Saccharomyces cerevisiae S288C: one gene and its partners. Changing the gene in region 1 together with any one later gene gives a genetic interaction. Each region holds a gene or a part of one and is shown in the gene's direction. Other genes may lie near its edges.

The links.
Region 2: mutations in RUD3 (region 1) and GYP1 together harm fitness more than expected from each alone (negative genetic interaction), as found in Saccharomyces cerevisiae (7 studies listed by BioGRID, with this or other methods).
Region 3: mutations in RUD3 (region 1) and RVS161 together harm fitness more than expected from each alone (negative genetic interaction), as found in Saccharomyces cerevisiae (6 studies listed by BioGRID, with this or other methods).
Region 4: mutations in RUD3 (region 1) and SLA1 together harm fitness more than expected from each alone (negative genetic interaction), as found in Saccharomyces cerevisiae (5 studies listed by BioGRID).

The regions. Positions count from the first base shown.
Region 1 is NC_001147.6:746,965-750,883, reverse strand, and holds RUD3 (Rud3p), read left to right. Parts: upstream 1-1,904; coding exon 1,905-3,359; downstream 3,360-3,919. Other genes in the region: RFC1 (replication factor C subunit 1), read right to left, coding at 1-1,583; AIM41 (Aim41p), read left to right, coding at 3,602-3,919. UniProt on the Saccharomyces cerevisiae protein: Involved in the structural organization of the cis-Golgi and in vesicle targeting/fusion stages of ER to Golgi transport.
Region 2 is NC_001147.6:455,407-459,830, reverse strand, and holds GYP1 (GTPase-activating protein GYP1), read left to right. Parts: upstream 1-2,010; coding exon 2,011-3,924; downstream 3,925-4,424. Other genes in the region: NRT1 (nicotinamide riboside transporter), read left to right, coding at 1-351; VPS5 (sorting nexin 1), read right to left, coding at 4,036-4,424. UniProt on the Saccharomyces cerevisiae protein: GTPase-activating protein (GAP) that stimulates specifically the intrinsic GTPase activity of Ypt/Rab-type GTPases YPT1 and YPT7. Functions on the Golgi as a negative regulator of YPT1. Functions on the vacuole as a negative regulator of YPT7.
Region 3 is NC_001135.5:130,183-133,175, reverse strand, and holds RVS161 (amphiphysin-like protein RVS161), read left to right. Parts: upstream 1-1,633; coding exon 1,634-2,431; downstream 2,432-2,993. Other genes in the region: ADY2 (Ady2p), read left to right, coding at 52-903; serine/threonine protein kinase SAT4, read right to left, coding at 2,895-2,993. UniProt on the Saccharomyces cerevisiae protein: Component of a cytoskeletal structure that is required for the formation of endocytic vesicles at the plasma membrane level.
Region 4 is NC_001134.8:212,132-218,244, reverse strand, and holds SLA1 (cytoskeletal protein-binding protein SLA1), read left to right. Parts: upstream 1-1,878; coding exon 1,879-5,613; downstream 5,614-6,113. Other genes in the region: drug-responsive transcription factor PDR3, read right to left, coding at 1-775; LDB7 (Ldb7p), read left to right, coding at 1,116-1,658; HIR1 (Hir1p), read right to left, coding at 6,070-6,113. UniProt on the Saccharomyces cerevisiae protein: Component of the PAN1 actin cytoskeleton-regulatory complex required for the internalization of endosomes during actin-coupled endocytosis. The complex links the site of endocytosis to the cell membrane-associated actin cytoskeleton.

The DNA.
Region 1 (3,919 bases):
GTAGTCGTAGATATCGTTGAAAGTAGATTAATAACCTGGCGGATATCACCTCTTGTAGTCTGTATCAACCTATCAATGACATTTGGATCAAGTTTGAACTTTTCTCTGATCGCAATTGTCATTAATCTTGATTTGATACTGTTAGCATCAGGTCTTCTAAATTGGATATCAAGACATACTCTATCGAATGGTCTCATTTTTGGTAAATTACGTTCATTACAAATTAGAATCAATGGAGTTGACGTCTTACGACAAAACTGTGCCAGCTGGCCAACTCCCCCCCTATCGCCTCCGCTCATACCATCAACTTCATCCATGATAATGACAAAATGTTTCCCGTTCAAATTTTGAGCTTCTTCGTTGTGTTTGAAATATCCCACTACAGACATGTTATCAAGAGCGTTTTTAACACCGGCATTAAGTAAAGTTTTAGAGCGAACATCAGAAGCGTTTTGTTCAAGAATGTCATACCCAAGCTCTTGTGCAACTAAATGAGCAGCAGTTGTCTTCCCAATACCAGGAGGACCGTATAACATTGCAGCCCTGAAAACACCAGAGCCATCTTTACCAGCATGTTTAAAACTATTTTTCTTTGAATTTTCCCAATTAGCCAACCAGTTTTTTAATTTCATTACACTTCCTTTGTTACCACAGACCTGTTGTAGATTCGTTGGTGCGTACTTTACTGTCCACAATTTATCTTCTTCCCTAACCACATTGTCTCTCTCCAGATGGCCACCAGAAACTCTAGTGGCTGCAAGCTTCTTCGACCTTTCCTCTTCTTTCTTAACAAGCAATTCTGCTTCTTTGGTAGCAATATTATGCTGTTCTTCTAATTTTCGACGTGCTTTTTCGGCAGCTTCCCCGTCACCACCTTCAGCAGGCATCCCAGCAATTAATTGCTTAAAGCCTTCTTCGTCTATGGCTTTGATTTTCAATTGCTTGATTTTTTCTAGTTTCTTTGGCCCTGCTTCATCACCTAAGACTACTACAGAAGTTTTGCTTGAAATTGATTTAGTAACCCTTGCTCCGTATCTTTTCGCTAAAGCTTCCGATGCACCACGCTCCAAGGTTGGCAGAACACCTGTGAAGACAATTGTTAGACCTAATAAACAATTTGGCTTTCCTTCTGGAAAACTACCTATTTCAGAAACAATTTCATCTGGATCCGCATTTGAATTTGCGCTTTTGAAATCAAATTTAGCATTCTCTTTCACATGAACATTTGACAGATCCAAGGATGGAATCTTATCTAGTACATCTTGAGCCGTAATATTCGAAGCCGAGTCTGAACTTTTAGAGGAGGGTTTGGTTTTTTTTGAACTTGCTGGCTTTACAGTTGGTGAAGAGGCCTTCCTCTTAGCGGGAAGAGGTAGCTTTTTTTCTCCTTCAGGTGTCTCTGATACATCAATTACATTACTTACAGGCATCTTCTTTGGTGTTTTATTGGTTGATTCTTGGTCAGATTCAGTATCTAAGTCGATAACTTCTGGTTTAGACGAACCCACCTGTCTCGTAGGTCTGGATGTTGACGATCTTACGGATTTCTTATTTTTACCAAAGAAATCAGAAATATTGACCATTTTCTTCAGCTTAGTTTATTATGAAGTGACTTGAAGTTATAAAATTAACTGCGAGATACCCAATTCCTTATTGTGTAAGGATCAAGCAGCGTATTCAACGAAGCCACTGTTTTCGCTGAGAGATCGGCTGTTCCTTCTCATGTTGATTTTTTTTTCAGTACTTCTTTTTGAATTTCGTGCTCATTTCGATACGAAAAATGGAAACAAACAGAAAGACCATTCATGAAGAACAAGAAAATCTTGTATAAACAGCTATATAGTAGATGCTTGTGTATACTTTCCACTTGATCCCCTCAAACAATTGCATTTTTTTTAATTAGAATGGGTAAAAATAAGAAGAAAACAGGTAAGAAGGCCAAGAGTCATCCTCATGTGGAGGACGTTGATGAAACCGTCAATAAACCTGAAGAAATCATCAATTCTGTAAACGTCACCGTTCCTCCAAAAATGTCCACAGATCCAGAGGCTGATGGTATCGTGGCAAGCCCGGACGATGAGGGGAAAGATCTCTCTGAAGGAGTAGACAAACAAAAAGTAAATGACGGCCTGACTGTAGACACCATAAATCCTTTAGAGGACAAAAAGGCTGGTGATGAGATGAAGGAACTAAGGGAAGAAATTGAACGTTTAAAATTGGAACTAAGCCACAAGAAGGATCAAGAAACGCCTAATGAAGACTTCAAAAATGAACTAGCAAATGTTATTAAGGAAAGAGACGAATTCAAAACACAGTATGACACATTATTGAGCAAGATATCTTCTATGAAATCAATTTTTAATAAGATGAAAGAAGCACAAAAACAATTAGAGGAAGTGCAGGAGCAGCTTACTGAATATGAATCACAAAATCTGAAATTGAAGAAGAAACTTGAAGCTACCAAGACCGAAAACTCTGAATTACAATCCACGATTGTGACCCTAAATACAGAGTTAGAAAACCTAGAAAAGGAGCAAGAAAGTACAGAAGAGGTTTTTTTGGAATACGAATCAAGGATAGAAGCTTTGGAAGATGAAAAACACGACATAATTGAAAAACATAGTAAGGAACTTAACACTTACAGGAAGGAAAAAGATCAATTAAATCTCCAAGTTCAGGAACTCATGATAATCTTAGAAAATAATAAACAAGATATATCTGACTTGAGAACAGAAAGAGATGAATTGAGACAGGCTTTGGAATCCCATGAAAAGGAGAAAGCAGTATTAAAGAATTCTCTAAATGATCTGGAATTGAAGATAGAAGAAGTTGACAACAAAAGGGAAGAAGAGGCTAGAGAGAGAGACCAGGAAGTCAAATCTTTACGATCCCAACTTGACACGGAGATAGAAACGCACAACAATGACACAGAAGCTTTAGAAAGCATGAAAAAACAGCTAGAAGCCATGAAGGAGGACGCCTCTATGAAGGAAAAATATGAGGAAGAATCTAAGCAGCACATCTTACAGATCGGAAAACTACGTCACGAAGCCATTATACTAAATGAGCATTTAACAAAGGCACTGGCCATGTTGAAGAAATCAAGCGATTCTGAATCCGTTGATAAAGAACTGATATCCAATCTATTGATATCTTTCGTGTCCATACCCAGAGCAGACCCAAGAAAGTTTGAAGTTCTTGAATTACTGTCCAATTTCTTAAACTGGGATGAAGATAAGAAACAACAGGCCGGCTTGATCTCGAATAATGAGTCTAAGAATTCAAGCGCTGTATCGAGAACGGAAAGCTTTGTATCGCTTTGGACCAACTACCTCGAGAAAGAGAGTGAGAAAGACTAATCGGGCAAACTAAGTCTAGTTCAGAAGAGCATACGTACTTAGTGTAGCATCACCCAATTTATACTCTATAAACGATAAATGATATAAATCACATCTACCCGGCATCTGGGACTTTTCGGGGGGAAGGACTCAAAATTAAAGGGAAGAAAAAGGATCTGCAACATTTTTTACAGAAGTAATGAACTGGAGAAAAAAGACTTTGGGATAAAGTTGGGGAATACAGCAAATAACACTATTCCAAGATGTTCAGACAATCAATTAGGCCACTTGTTTCAAATAGACTAACCTTCATTCGTTATAACAGTTCTCCAGCCTACACGGCTGCAGTCAGCCTATTGAAAGGAGATTTGAAAAAGGCTATGATTGCCAAGGATGAGATGAAGAAGACAGCAATCAGAAATATGTTATCTGCCATAAAAAACAAAGAAATTGCTTTAAAAGGGAAGAGCGCTGATGAGTACTCCCTGTACGACATGTACTCCAAGTTAATATCTCAAAGAAAGGACTCGATCAATGAGTTCCTTGCTAACAAGAGGGACGATCTGGTGGCCAAAGAGCAA
Region 2 (4,424 bases), 290 kb from region 1:
GATTCTTTCTTCTCCTTTTTGATTTCTTTTTTCGTTTACTGGGGGCTATGTGTCTTCTTCCCATTCAAAATTACTGTTAGACATGATGACAAAGATTACTATGGTGCATTTACCGACGAAGAAGCGAGAAAGAAGGGCATGATTCCATACAGTGAAATTTCTGAGGAAGAAATCCGTGCTTACACGTTAGGCGAATGCTACACAACTGGACACGAATACAAACCTGAGAGTTCTGATAACGAATCACCTGAATTGATCAAAACTAGCTCAGAAAACACTAACGTATTTGAAATCGTTCACCAAAAGGATGATGAAAAGCACTCCTTTAGTACCACTCAACAAGTTGTCTGATGACAAAGAATCCGATAAAATGAAGATCTCAAATATACAAAGAGGAAACTTCAACGCTTCATTTGAAAATCTGTACAGATCTTACAATTTGGGAATACTACCAGATCGATCCTCAGCTGCAAATACTTTACTGTCAAGTATGTCTATGGTGACAAATATCGGCATTATTGTGTATGGCTCAATAATTTTATAAAAAAAGGAACTATTGGTTCTTAGTATTTTCTTGCTAGAAGACATATTCTTACCAATCCTTTCATAAGCTAATTATGCCATCCATATAGCAAGAGAATCCGGTGGGGGCGCCATGCCTATCCGGCGGCAACATTATTACTCTGGTATACGGGCGTAACTCCATAATATGCCACCACTTACCTTTAACATGTTCATGGTAGGTACCCCACCCAGCCATAAGGAAATTTTCAAAGGCGTTGGATCAAAAAATAGGCCTTTATTTCATCGCGTGATTGAGGAGCATAACATGTTTAGTGAAGGTTTCTTTTGGAAAACTTCAGTCGCTCATTATTAGAACCAGGGAGGTCCAGGCTTTGCTGGTGGGAGAGAAAGCTTATGAAGCTGGGGTTGCAGATTTGTCGATTGGTCGCCAGTACACAGTTTTAAAAAGTCAGAGAATGTAGAGAAGTATGGATCTTTGAAACCCTTTTATTTTATTTTACTTTTTTTAGAATGACCTGTTCCCGACACTATGTAAGATCTAGCTTTTAACATATTATGGAAACCTGAAATGTAAAATCTGAATTTTTGTATATGTGTTTATATTTGGGTAGTTCTTTTGAGGAAAGCATGCATAGACTTGCTGTACGAACTTTATGTGACTTGTAGTGACGCTGTTTCATGAGACTTTAGCCCTTTGAACATATTATCATATCTCAGCTTGAAATACTATAGATTTACTTTTGCAGCCATTTCTTGGTGCTCCAAGGTTGTGCGTATCTATTACTTAATTTCTGTCCTTGCCAAGTTTTGCAGCAGGGCGGTCACAAGACTCCTCTGCCGTCATTCCTTAGTCCTTCGGGAACACACTTATTTATGTATTTGTATTCTACAATTCTACGGTGCACAAGGGTTGGGCACTGTTGAGCTCAGCACGCAACTATTGCTGGCATGAAGATAAGATTGATTTTTGGAAGAATAAGCTTGTGGAAGTTACCTGTCTCTTATTTTTTTTTCCTTTTTGCACTTTTTTTTGGTGATCACTTAGGTAACAATCTATAACACAGCAGTATGAACCCACTAGTTAACCATTCTGCGCCGATGGTATACCTTTTTCATTGCTTAATTGTCTGTGAGAGGCTTGATAAGCTAAGGCTCATGGCGATAAATCCACGATGAACTCGTTTAATGCAAAATATAGGTCGCGGCTTGCCGGGTACCAAGTCGCAACAAAGCTCCCCGAATTGTTTCGCCCATTCATCTGACAGGACAGAATGCCAAACATATGATGCATGATGCAGCAAAGAGCACAGTAATCACTATTTTCTGCATATCATATAGCCAGATTGCTATAGTGTTTGGCTTTTGTCCTGCTGTTAATTGTTTTGTTTTCTTTCTATTTTTATAACTATTATTGGAGAGTAGATCAAGGATACAAATAACAACAACAACCACCAATACCGACCACTTAATAAAAGTAACCATATAATGGGTGTGAGATCCGCTGCAAAGGAAATGCACGAACGGGACCATAATTCGGACAGTTCCAGTTTAGTAACTTCCCTGATGAAATCTTGGAGGATATCGTCGGCTTCTTCCTCCAAGAAGCCATCGTTATACAAAATGAATACTACTGAATCTACTAGTTTACCCTCGGGTTATGCTTCCTCGGCAGATAGAGATCGGAGAACCAGTGACGGTAATTTTGAAGCTATGGCAAAGCAACAAGCAAGCACTAGACGTACCTCGAATTCCTATTCACCTCTACGATATGTAAACCCCACTCTAAGCACTGCAAGTAACGAAAGTCCCCGGCCTGCTTTACTCTTACGTCAGCATCACCAGCGTCATCACCACCATCAACAACCCCGCCATAGCAGTAGTGGTAGTGTAGGCAACAATTGCAGTAACAGTACAGAGCCTAACAAAAAGGGTGATCGATATTTCAAAGACTTAGATGAGGATTGGAGTGCTGTTATTGACGATTATAATATGCCTATTCCTATACTTACTAACGGTGGATTTGGTACACCTGTAGCTCCAACGAGAACTTTGTCGCGAAAATCCACTTCTTCTTCCATCAATTCGATTTCGAATATGGGGACCTCCGCAGTACGGAATTCTTCCTCCTCTTTTACATACCCTCAATTACCACAGCTGCAAAAAGAGAAAACAAATGATTCCAAGAAAACTCAGTTGGAAATCGAAAACGAACGGGATGTTCAAGAATTAAACTCCATCATCCAGCGCATTTCTAAATTTGACAATATTTTGAAAGATAAGACAATCATAAATCAACAGGATCTGCGCCAGATCAGTTGGAATGGTATCCCAAAAATACACAGGCCTGTTGTTTGGAAATTATTAATAGGTTATTTGCCTGTGAACACCAAGAGACAGGAGGGTTTCTTACAAAGGAAGAGGAAAGAATATAGGGATAGTCTGAAACATACCTTTTCTGACCAGCACTCAAGAGATATCCCAACTTGGCATCAGATAGAGATAGATATACCGAGAACAAATCCCCACATTCCCCTCTACCAGTTCAAATCCGTACAGAACAGTTTACAACGAATACTATATCTTTGGGCAATCAGGCATCCTGCTAGCGGATATGTGCAAGGTATTAATGATTTAGTTACACCATTTTTCGAGACTTTTCTTACCGAATATCTGCCGCCTTCACAAATAGATGATGTAGAGATAAAGGACCCCTCTACTTATATGGTAGATGAACAGATTACAGATTTAGAAGCGGACACGTTTTGGTGTCTTACCAAATTGCTCGAACAAATTACCGATAACTATATTCACGGACAACCAGGCATATTAAGACAAGTGAAGAATTTGAGTCAGCTAGTGAAACGAATTGATGCTGATCTATATAACCATTTTCAAAATGAACATGTGGAGTTTATACAGTTTGCATTCAGATGGATGAATTGCCTTTTGATGAGAGAATTTCAAATGGGTACAGTAATAAGGATGTGGGACACATATTTATCTGAAACTTCACAAGAGGTCACTTCTTCTTATTCTATGTCGTCCAATGACATTAAACCTCCTGTTACTCCAACAGAACCTCGAGTGGCAAGTTTTGTTACACCAACAAAAGATTTCCAATCTCCCACCACAGCTCTTTCTAATATGACACCAAACAATGCTGTTGAAGACAGTGGAAAAATGAGACAGTCTTCGTTGAATGAGTTTCATGTGTTTGTTTGTGCTGCATTCCTCATCAAGTGGAGTGACCAGCTAATGGAAATGGATTTCCAAGAAACTATAACTTTCTTACAGAACCCTCCTACAAAGGACTGGACTGAAACGGATATTGAAATGCTTCTGAGCGAAGCCTTTATTTGGCAATCTCTTTACAAAGATGCTACGTCGCACTGGCTGTAAACGGACCTATTCATTTTACTTACTGTATAGTATGTAATAATATAAAACAAAAATCTCCTAATTCATAAATCCTGAGGAACGTGACACATAAAGTTATTGTATACAGATCATCTAAAGATTGGTTTGGTAGAATGTCTCCCAAAGCTCGATGCATTCTTTTTGAGATTCAATGGCCGCTTCTAGTGATATTTCCATGCCGTTTCGGAATTCCCGAATTTTATCAGTAGAGAAACCTTGGAATTCATCTTTTATTTTATCTCCTACCGCTTGCCATTGTTTTTTTGTAAGGTTATACCTTCTCTCCAATGTTTGAAATTCCTTTCTCATTTCTCTGAATTTTTCTGAATGAATATTTTGACCCAATTTGCCCAATTGTGAGTGTTTCTTATTCATGTCATTTTCTATTACTACCAAGAAATACCCCAATTTGGATCTCTGATTGAAAATTGCTTTTACGCTTGCCAATGACCTAATATAGTCGTCCAGCATCACACCCATCG
Region 3 (2,993 bases), on another chromosome or scaffold:
ACACAGATATAACTAAACAACCACAAAACAACTCATATACAAACAAATAATATGTCTGACAAGGAACAAACGAGCGGAAACACAGATTTGGAGAATGCACCAGCAGGATACTATAGTTCCCATGATAACGACGTTAATGGCGTTGCAGAAGATGAACGTCCATCTCATGATTCGTTGGGCAAGATTTACACTGGAGGTGATAACAATGAATATATCTATATTGGGCGTCAAAAGTTTTTGAAGAGCGACTTATACCAAGCCTTTGGTGGTACCTTGAATCCAGGGTTAGCTCCTGCTCCAGTGCACAAATTTGCTAATCCTGCGCCCTTAGGTCTTTCAGCCTTCGCGTTGACGACATTTGTGCTGTCCATGTTCAATGCGAGAGCGCAAGGGATCACTGTTCCTAATGTTGTCGTCGGTTGTGCTATGTTTTATGGTGGTTTGGTGCAATTGATTGCTGGTATTTGGGAGATAGCTTTGGAAAATACTTTTGGTGGTACCGCATTATGTTCTTACGGTGGGTTTTGGTTGAGTTTCGCTGCAATTTACATTCCTTGGTTTGGTATCTTGGAAGCTTACGAAGACAATGAATCTGATTTGAATAATGCTTTAGGATTTTATTTGTTGGGGTGGGCCATCTTTACGTTTGGTTTAACCGTTTGTACCATGAAATCCACTGTTATGTTCTTTTTGTTGTTCTTCTTACTAGCATTAACTTTCCTACTGTTGTCTATTGGTCACTTTGCTAATAGACTTGGTGTCACAAGAGCTGGTGGTGTCCTGGGAGTTGTTGTTGCTTTCATTGCTTGGTACAACGCATATGCAGGTGTTGCTACAAAGCAGAATTCATATGTACTGGCTCGTCCATTCCCATTACCATCTACTGAAAGGGTAATCTTTTAAGAGCACGACCTACTAATAACGAGAACTATTGAAATAAAAAAGAGTAGTTTTTTATTTTTCAATTTTTTAATATGATAATTATTTTATGACTTATATAACCACACCAACTAATCGTACTTTTATATGTTTAAATAGAATGGCTGTTTCAGTCGTACACTATTAATAACATTATGTTACTTCGCAATTAAATGTTTTTCAAAGCTAAAACTTCAAAACAAGATATAAACAATGTACAAAAATGATTACGAAAATATAGATGATGTAAGCAAGGTACGGTTATAAACAGTTAACATATAAGTTTACTTCACTTTTTTGCTGACTCCTTTACTTGTCTTCCCTGCACTTTGATTTTACTTCAGAAAAAATAAGATATATGTTTCTGATAAAACTTTTAGGTTAGCGGAGAAGATGTTGCCACGAATATCATGTAATTGAAAGGCAACGAAAGGTCTATCGTTTGCCATTCATAATGTGATTCGACTTGTCTTTTTCATTGTAACAGACATGAAACGTTTCCTTTACGTCCCTATGAATTTTTGTTGGCTGAACTGGGCGCTGCAGGGGCTGGACGATCCAAATGCGCGGATTTTGAACAATTATGAGAATCCGAATTAAAAGAAAGGGAAAACAAATTTAATAACAGGCAGACGTGAGAGAAGAAAAGGAAACGCTGTGATATAGAAAACTATACAAATCCTATTATAAGAAGCCAGAAGAAAGCTGATACAAGATGAGTTGGGAAGGTTTTAAGAAAGCTATCAACAGAGCTGGTCACAGTGTGATAATTAAGAATGTCGACAAGACCATTGATAAAGAGTATGACATGGAAGAACGTCGTTATAAAGTTCTTCAAAGAGCAGGTGAGGCATTACAAAAGGAAGCCAAAGGTTTCTTGGACTCATTGAGAGCTGTGACAGCATCACAGACTACCATTGCCGAGGTCATCTCTAACCTCTATGACGATTCAAAATATGTTGCTGGTGGTGGTTACAACGTTGGTAACTATTATTTGCAATGTGTTCAAGATTTTGATAGCGAAACTGTTAAGCAATTAGACGGGCCCTTAAGAGAAACCGTACTAGATCCAATAACAAAGTTTTCGACGTATTTCAAAGAAATTGAGGAGGCCATAAAAAAGAGAGACCATAAGAAACAAGACTTCGATGCTGCGAAGGCAAAAGTTCGTAGATTAGTGGACAAACCTGCTAAAGATGCCTCTAAACTGCCAAGGGCTGAAAAAGAATTGAGCTTAGCTAAAGATATTTTCGAAAATCTTAATAACCAATTGAAAACTGAACTACCACAGTTAGTTTCATTAAGAGTACCTTACTTTGACCCAAGTTTTGAAGCTTTAATCAAGATTCAGCTAAGGTTCTGTACTGATGGTTACACTCGTTTAGCGCAGATTCAACAATATTTGGACCAACAATCAAGAGACGACTATGCCAATGGGTTATTAGACACTAAAATCGAAGAACTATTAGGACAAATGACAAGCCTAGATATTTGTGCGCTCGGGATAAAATAAATTAATGCTTTTGCCTTTAGTTTTTTACGGTCATTTATGTTTCTTTCATTTAAATTAACAGACCTAAATAGCACTATAATTTACTATCTGCTCTATCTGACCAACCGACTCTTTTTAAGAAAGCAATTAAAAAGCGATAATAACCGCGGGCATGTGTTTTTGTTAACATGAACACAATAAACGTAAGAATGTCTAGCAATAAATTCAAAATTATTATCTTTTTTTTTTTTATTGTTATGTACTATTTTTTTTTTTAAATAAGGTTACAATTCTTTTTTAATTAATGGGATTTACCAATTTGAACGTGATCCGTAATCAGCCAAACGGGATATAAAAGTAGAACAATAGAAGCGAGGAATAAGATACGAATGCCGGATAACAAAGCATTCCTTAGTGTACTAGATTAAGTAAAAAATACCGAATTGTTCCAAAATATCGTGATATTTGAAAGTGAAGTACTCGTTTATTTCAATGCGCGCCCATTATGGCAGCATTTTATCTCCCTTCCCCATTCACTGTTCAAAATTTGTTTCCCGTTAATTCTTCTGTACGGAACGGGATC
Region 4 (6,113 bases), on another chromosome or scaffold:
TTTTTTTAATTAAATATCCTATACCTCTTAGTGAAAAAGCCTGTATTGGAGAGAAAAGACCAAATACTTCATCTACTAGTGGAGTGGTGGCTAGAAATGAATCTGGACTTTGTGATTTAACCATTTGGTCTGTCCAAAAGGAGAACCTCGTCATGTGTATTTTATTTCTATACTTGTTGGTTAAAAGATACGTTTCTATCGATCTTTGTGGGCGAGGAGAGAAACTGGAAAGCTTGGGGTAGTTTATTTCGGGATTCCAACTGTTAATCAGGTTATTCAACTGCGACTTCGTTTTATCAATCAAGAGCTGAGTGTCATCACAAGGCGGCAGAGCGTACAAATTTGTCAGAATATTTTGATACGTAACCAGTTGATTTTGATATTTGGAATCATCTTTAAAGAGAATATTATTATCATTAGTAGGATTATTGGAAGTATCAGGAGCATGCGTCGCACTCGGAGAGACTGGAGTCTGTATCAGGTCGTTCATCAGTTTGAAGTAATATTGATTATCTAGCTTAATCGCAGTGTCCAGATGCTGTACATCTGCTGAAGCCTCTACATTGGCGTGGGAAGAGGGTGGAGCAACAGCTGTAGTAGGCAAAGACTGGGAACTATCCTCCTTCTGCGGTAAATGTTTTTTTAGGAATACACACGTACAATCGTAAGAAATGCAGTTGGTACATGGATATTTACCTGTGCATTTGATTTTCCTTTTTCTGCAATTGACACATGCTGTCGAAACTTTTGATCTAGTTGATTTCTTCACTTTCATTGCGGTCACGCAATAAGAAAAAATTAATAAAACTGCTGATGCAGTTGTCGCCTAAGACCTATGGTTGCTTTGGAAGGCTCCTGAAGACACAAACACAGGAAATACATAAATACATTAATGAGATTCTATAACAGTATCTACATATTTGCATTCTAAGACTCACTGTGATAGTTCATTTATTATTCCGCGGAAAGTCCGAGCGGCAGAGGAGGCAGCTCCGCGGAAACAAGGGCAGCGCCTGTTGTTCTGGAAGAAAATGAAAAGTGAAATGCAGTTGTCGTGGAAATAATGGCTTTACCTGAAAGCAGCAGAGCACGGTGTTAACAAGGAATAGCTGAGAATGAGTGGAAGTAATATGGGATACTATGACGTACTCGCAGGGCTTTCAGCGCTGGAAAAGTCATCCCAGGTAGTGTTCAGTGCGACTGAGCTTCAACAGCTTACGCAACAATCTCATGCTACCGACAAGGGCATAGAGGGCAGTGAGAATAGTAAAGCGAAGGTATCCAAGCCCAAAAGAGTAGCTGTACATGGTTACCTAGGCGGTAAAGTGTCGCTCGCCGATGCGGCACAGGTGGAGTATGAAGTAGGCCATTCACTGCTGGGCAGTTATGTGCCACGCCAGCAGTTGGAAGCCCTGTCAAGTGTCGACTTTTCGCACCATTTCCACCGCACATTAGAATGCAAAGCTGCTCTAGAGACACACGATGTTTTTCTTGCCGGCGCAGGACAATTGTCTCTACCCTTCCAATCACACATAGAGAGCCCCAGGAATAGCGAGGCTAAAAGGAAAAGAAAAGTGATAATATGCAAACGGTGTCAATCACGATTTATAGGTTCCCATAGGCGGTCTCAACTTAGAGAACATGCCTGCGTAGATTAAACCATGTAATTGATAGAGGTAGAATGTTGCTTCGTAGAAAGTGACTATACGATTCCTAAAAGGGGCTTCCTTCCACTCATGCGAAATCGAGATACATCAGACGAAAACAGAACGAATATTTAGCGCATATATACTATGTATATCTATTGCAATCCTAAAAGAAGGGATAGTGTAACATAGCCAAGGCGACAGAGTGTGTTATATACAAAAGAGCTAGAGTATGACTGTGTTTCTGGGCATCTATAGGGCCGTCTATGCCTATGAGCCGCAGACACCAGAAGAACTGGCCATCCAAGAAGACGATCTGTTGTACCTCTTACAGAAGTCAGACATTGACGATTGGTGGACAGTAAAGAAAAGAGTCATTGGTTCCGATAGCGAAGAACCGGTGGGTCTAGTGCCCTCCACTTACATTGAAGAAGCTCCTGTTTTGAAGAAGGTAAGAGCCATTTATGATTATGAACAGGTGCAAAATGCTGATGAAGAATTGACGTTTCATGAAAATGACGTTTTTGATGTATTCGATGATAAAGATGCTGATTGGCTGTTGGTTAAGTCTACCGTTTCCAATGAATTCGGCTTCATTCCAGGCAATTACGTCGAACCAGAGAATGGGTCCACTTCCAAGCAGGAACAGGCTCCCGCTGCCGCTGAAGCTCCTGCAGCTACTCCTGCAGCCGCTCCTGCTTCTGCTGCCGTACTACCCACCAACTTTTTACCACCTCCTCAACACAATGATAGAGCTCGTATGATGCAAAGTAAAGAAGACCAAGCTCCAGATGAGGATGAAGAGGGCCCTCCTCCTGCCATGCCTGCAAGACCAACGGCTACTACCGAAACTACTGATGCCACCGCTGCGGCTGTTCGATCTCGTACAAGACTATCATACAGCGATAACGATAATGACGATGAAGAGGATGATTACTATTACAACAGCAACAGCAACAACGTTGGAAATCACGAATACAATACAGAGTATCACTCTTGGAACGTTACCGAAATCGAGGGAAGGAAAAAGAAGAAGGCCAAGCTATCAATCGGTAACAACAAGATAAACTTCATACCCCAAAAGGGGACTCCTCATGAGTGGTCAATTGATAAATTGGTCTCTTATGATAACGAAAAGAAACACATGTTCTTGGAATTTGTTGATCCATATAGAAGCCTTGAATTACACACTGGTAATACCACCACATGTGAAGAGATCATGAACATTATTGGTGAATATAAAGGTGCTTCCCGTGATCCTGGGTTGAGAGAAGTCGAAATGGCTTCCAAATCCAAAAAGAGAGGTATTGTTCAATATGACTTCATGGCTGAATCACAGGACGAATTAACCATAAAATCAGGCGATAAAGTCTACATTTTAGATGATAAAAAATCTAAGGACTGGTGGATGTGCCAACTGGTTGATTCAGGGAAAAGCGGTCTCGTTCCTGCACAGTTTATTGAGCCTGTTCGTGACAAAAAACATACTGAATCTACAGCAAGCGGTATCATCAAGTCTATCAAGAAAAACTTCACCAAATCTCCATCTAGGTCGAGATCTAGATCAAGATCTAAATCCAATGCCAATGCCAGTTGGAAAGATGATGAACTACAAAACGATGTTGTAGGTAGTGCTGCCGGTAAAAGGTCAAGAAAAAGTTCATTGTCCTCTCACAAAAAAAACTCTTCGGCGACCAAAGATTTCCCCAATCCAAAAAAATCGCGTCTATGGGTTGATAGAAGTGGTACTTTCAAAGTGGATGCAGAATTCATTGGATGTGCTAAGGGGAAAATCCACTTGCACAAGGCTAATGGTGTCAAGATTGCTGTCGCCGCTGATAAACTATCCAATGAAGATTTAGCGTATGTGGAAAAAATTACTGGGTTCTCCTTAGAGAAATTTAAGGCGAATGATGGGTCTAGTTCCCGTGGCACTGATTCAAGAGACTCTGAAAGAGAAAGAAGAAGGAGATTGAAGGAGCAGGAGGAAAAAGAACGCGATAGGAGATTGAAAGAGCGTGAATTATACGAATTGAAAAAAGCCAGAGAACTCCTAGATGAAGAAAGATCAAGGTTGCAAGAAAAGGAATTGCCTCCAATAAAACCACCAAGACCAACCTCTACTACCTCCGTTCCAAATACGACGTCCGTACCACCAGCCGAAAGCAGCAATAACAACAACTCCAGTAACAAATATGATTGGTTCGAATTTTTCTTGAATTGCGGCGTTGATGTAAGCAATTGTCAAAGATATACAATAAATTTTGATAGAGAACAGCTTACTGAAGACATGATGCCTGACATCAATAACTCAATGTTAAGAACCTTGGGTCTGCGCGAAGGTGATATTGTTAGAGTAATGAAACATCTTGACAAGAAATTTGGAAGAGAAAATATTGCATCAATTCCTACAAATGCCACTGGAAATATGTTTTCACAACCTGATGGTTCATTGAACGTTGCTACAAGTCCGGAAACCTCACTGCCTCAGCAATTGTTGCCACAAACAACAAGTCCTGCTCAAACAGCTCCTTCCACATCAGCTGAGACAGATGATGCTTGGACTGTTAAACCGGCTTCTAAGTCTGAATCTAATTTACTCTCTAAGAAATCAGAATTTACTGGTTCCATGCAGGATTTATTAGACTTGCAACCTTTAGAACCTAAAAAGGCAGCTGCCTCGACACCTGAACCAAACCTAAAAGATTTGGAACCCGTGAAAACTGGCGGCACCACTGTTCCTGCTGCTCCGGTTTCATCTGCTCCGGTTTCATCTGCTCCCGCTCCATTGGATCCATTCAAAACCGGTGGCAACAATATCTTACCCTTATCTACTGGCTTTGTGATGATGCCAATGATTACTGGGGGCGATATGCTGCCTATGCAAAGAACCGGCGGCTTCGTTGTACCACAAACAACTTTTGGTATGCAATCGCAAGTTACTGGTGGTATCCTACCTGTTCAAAAGACAGGAAATGGGTTAATTCCTATCTCTAACACTGGCGGCGCAATGATGCCACAAACTACGTTCGGCGCAGCAGCTACCGTCTTACCTCTGCAAAAAACTGGAGGTGGCCTAATACCAATTGCCACCACAGGAGGTGCGCAATTCCCGCAAACTTCATTCAATGTTCAGGGGCAACAACAACTTCCAACAGGTTCAATATTACCTGTCCAAAAAACTGCTAATGGATTAATTTCAGCTAATACTGGTGTCTCAATGCCAACTGTACAAAGAACAGGCGGCACTATGATTCCACAAACATCATTTGGCGTTTCACAGCAATTAACAGGTGGTGCAATGATGACCCAACCTCAAAATACAGGGAGTGCCATGATGCCTCAAACATCCTTCAATGCTGTACCACAAATTACTGGAGGAGCAATGATGCCTCAAACGTCCTTCAATGCTTTACCACAAGTTACAGGGGGAGCAATGATGCCTTTGCAGAGAACTGGTGGTGCTTTGAATACATTTAATACTGGAGGCGCCATGATTCCCCAGACTTCGTTCAGCTCTCAAGCTCAAAACACTGGCGGGTTCCGGCCGCAATCCCAATTCGGTTTGACTTTACAAAAAACCGGAGGTATTGCGCCATTAAACCAGAACCAGTTCACTGGTGGAGCCATGAATACTTTAAGTACAGGGGGCGTTCTTCAACAACAGCAACCACAAACGATGAATACCTTCAATACTGGTGGTGTTATGCAAGAGCTCCAAATGATGACTACTTTCAATACTGGTGGTGCTATGCAACAACCACAGATGATGAACACATTCAACACCGATGGAATTATGCAACAACCACAGATGATGAACACTTTTAACACTGGGGGTGCTATGCAACAACCACAACAACAAGCATTACAGAACCAACCTACTGGATTTGGGTTTGGTAATGGACCTCAACAATCAAGGCAAGCCAACATATTCAATGCTACTGCATCAAATCCGTTTGGATTCTAGATTAATGTATTTTAAGATTTTATAGGATAATAACTAAAACAAGCTATATGAAATAGTTTCGTACAATCTGTGCTTATACTCGTGAAAATGGCAAATTTCTCTTTTTTTTTTTATAAGTAGTTATGTATGTATTTTACTAATTTTAATATAATCGTTCTCAGTCCCAATAATGTTTTATTGTCATATTATACTAAAGTTGAAATGGTGGAGTCGACCCTAAGAATTTATTTCTTCCAGACAGAGGAGGTGTGTAGTCACTTTGGTTCCACTAATAGACAACCGACATTAAAATACTTCTGATCTGTGCCTTCAGAAAGCTTCATCTGTAACCGCTTGTCTGTATGAGTCGTTTCAAATGGTAACCACTTAAACAATGCGAATACTACAATGATATTTATAAAATATAGACGTAATTATGAGGGAAAAAACTTGTCCAAAGGAAGGGGTATAAGCTTATTATTTATATAACGACCAACAACCCAGATCCTTAGTCCATTTAT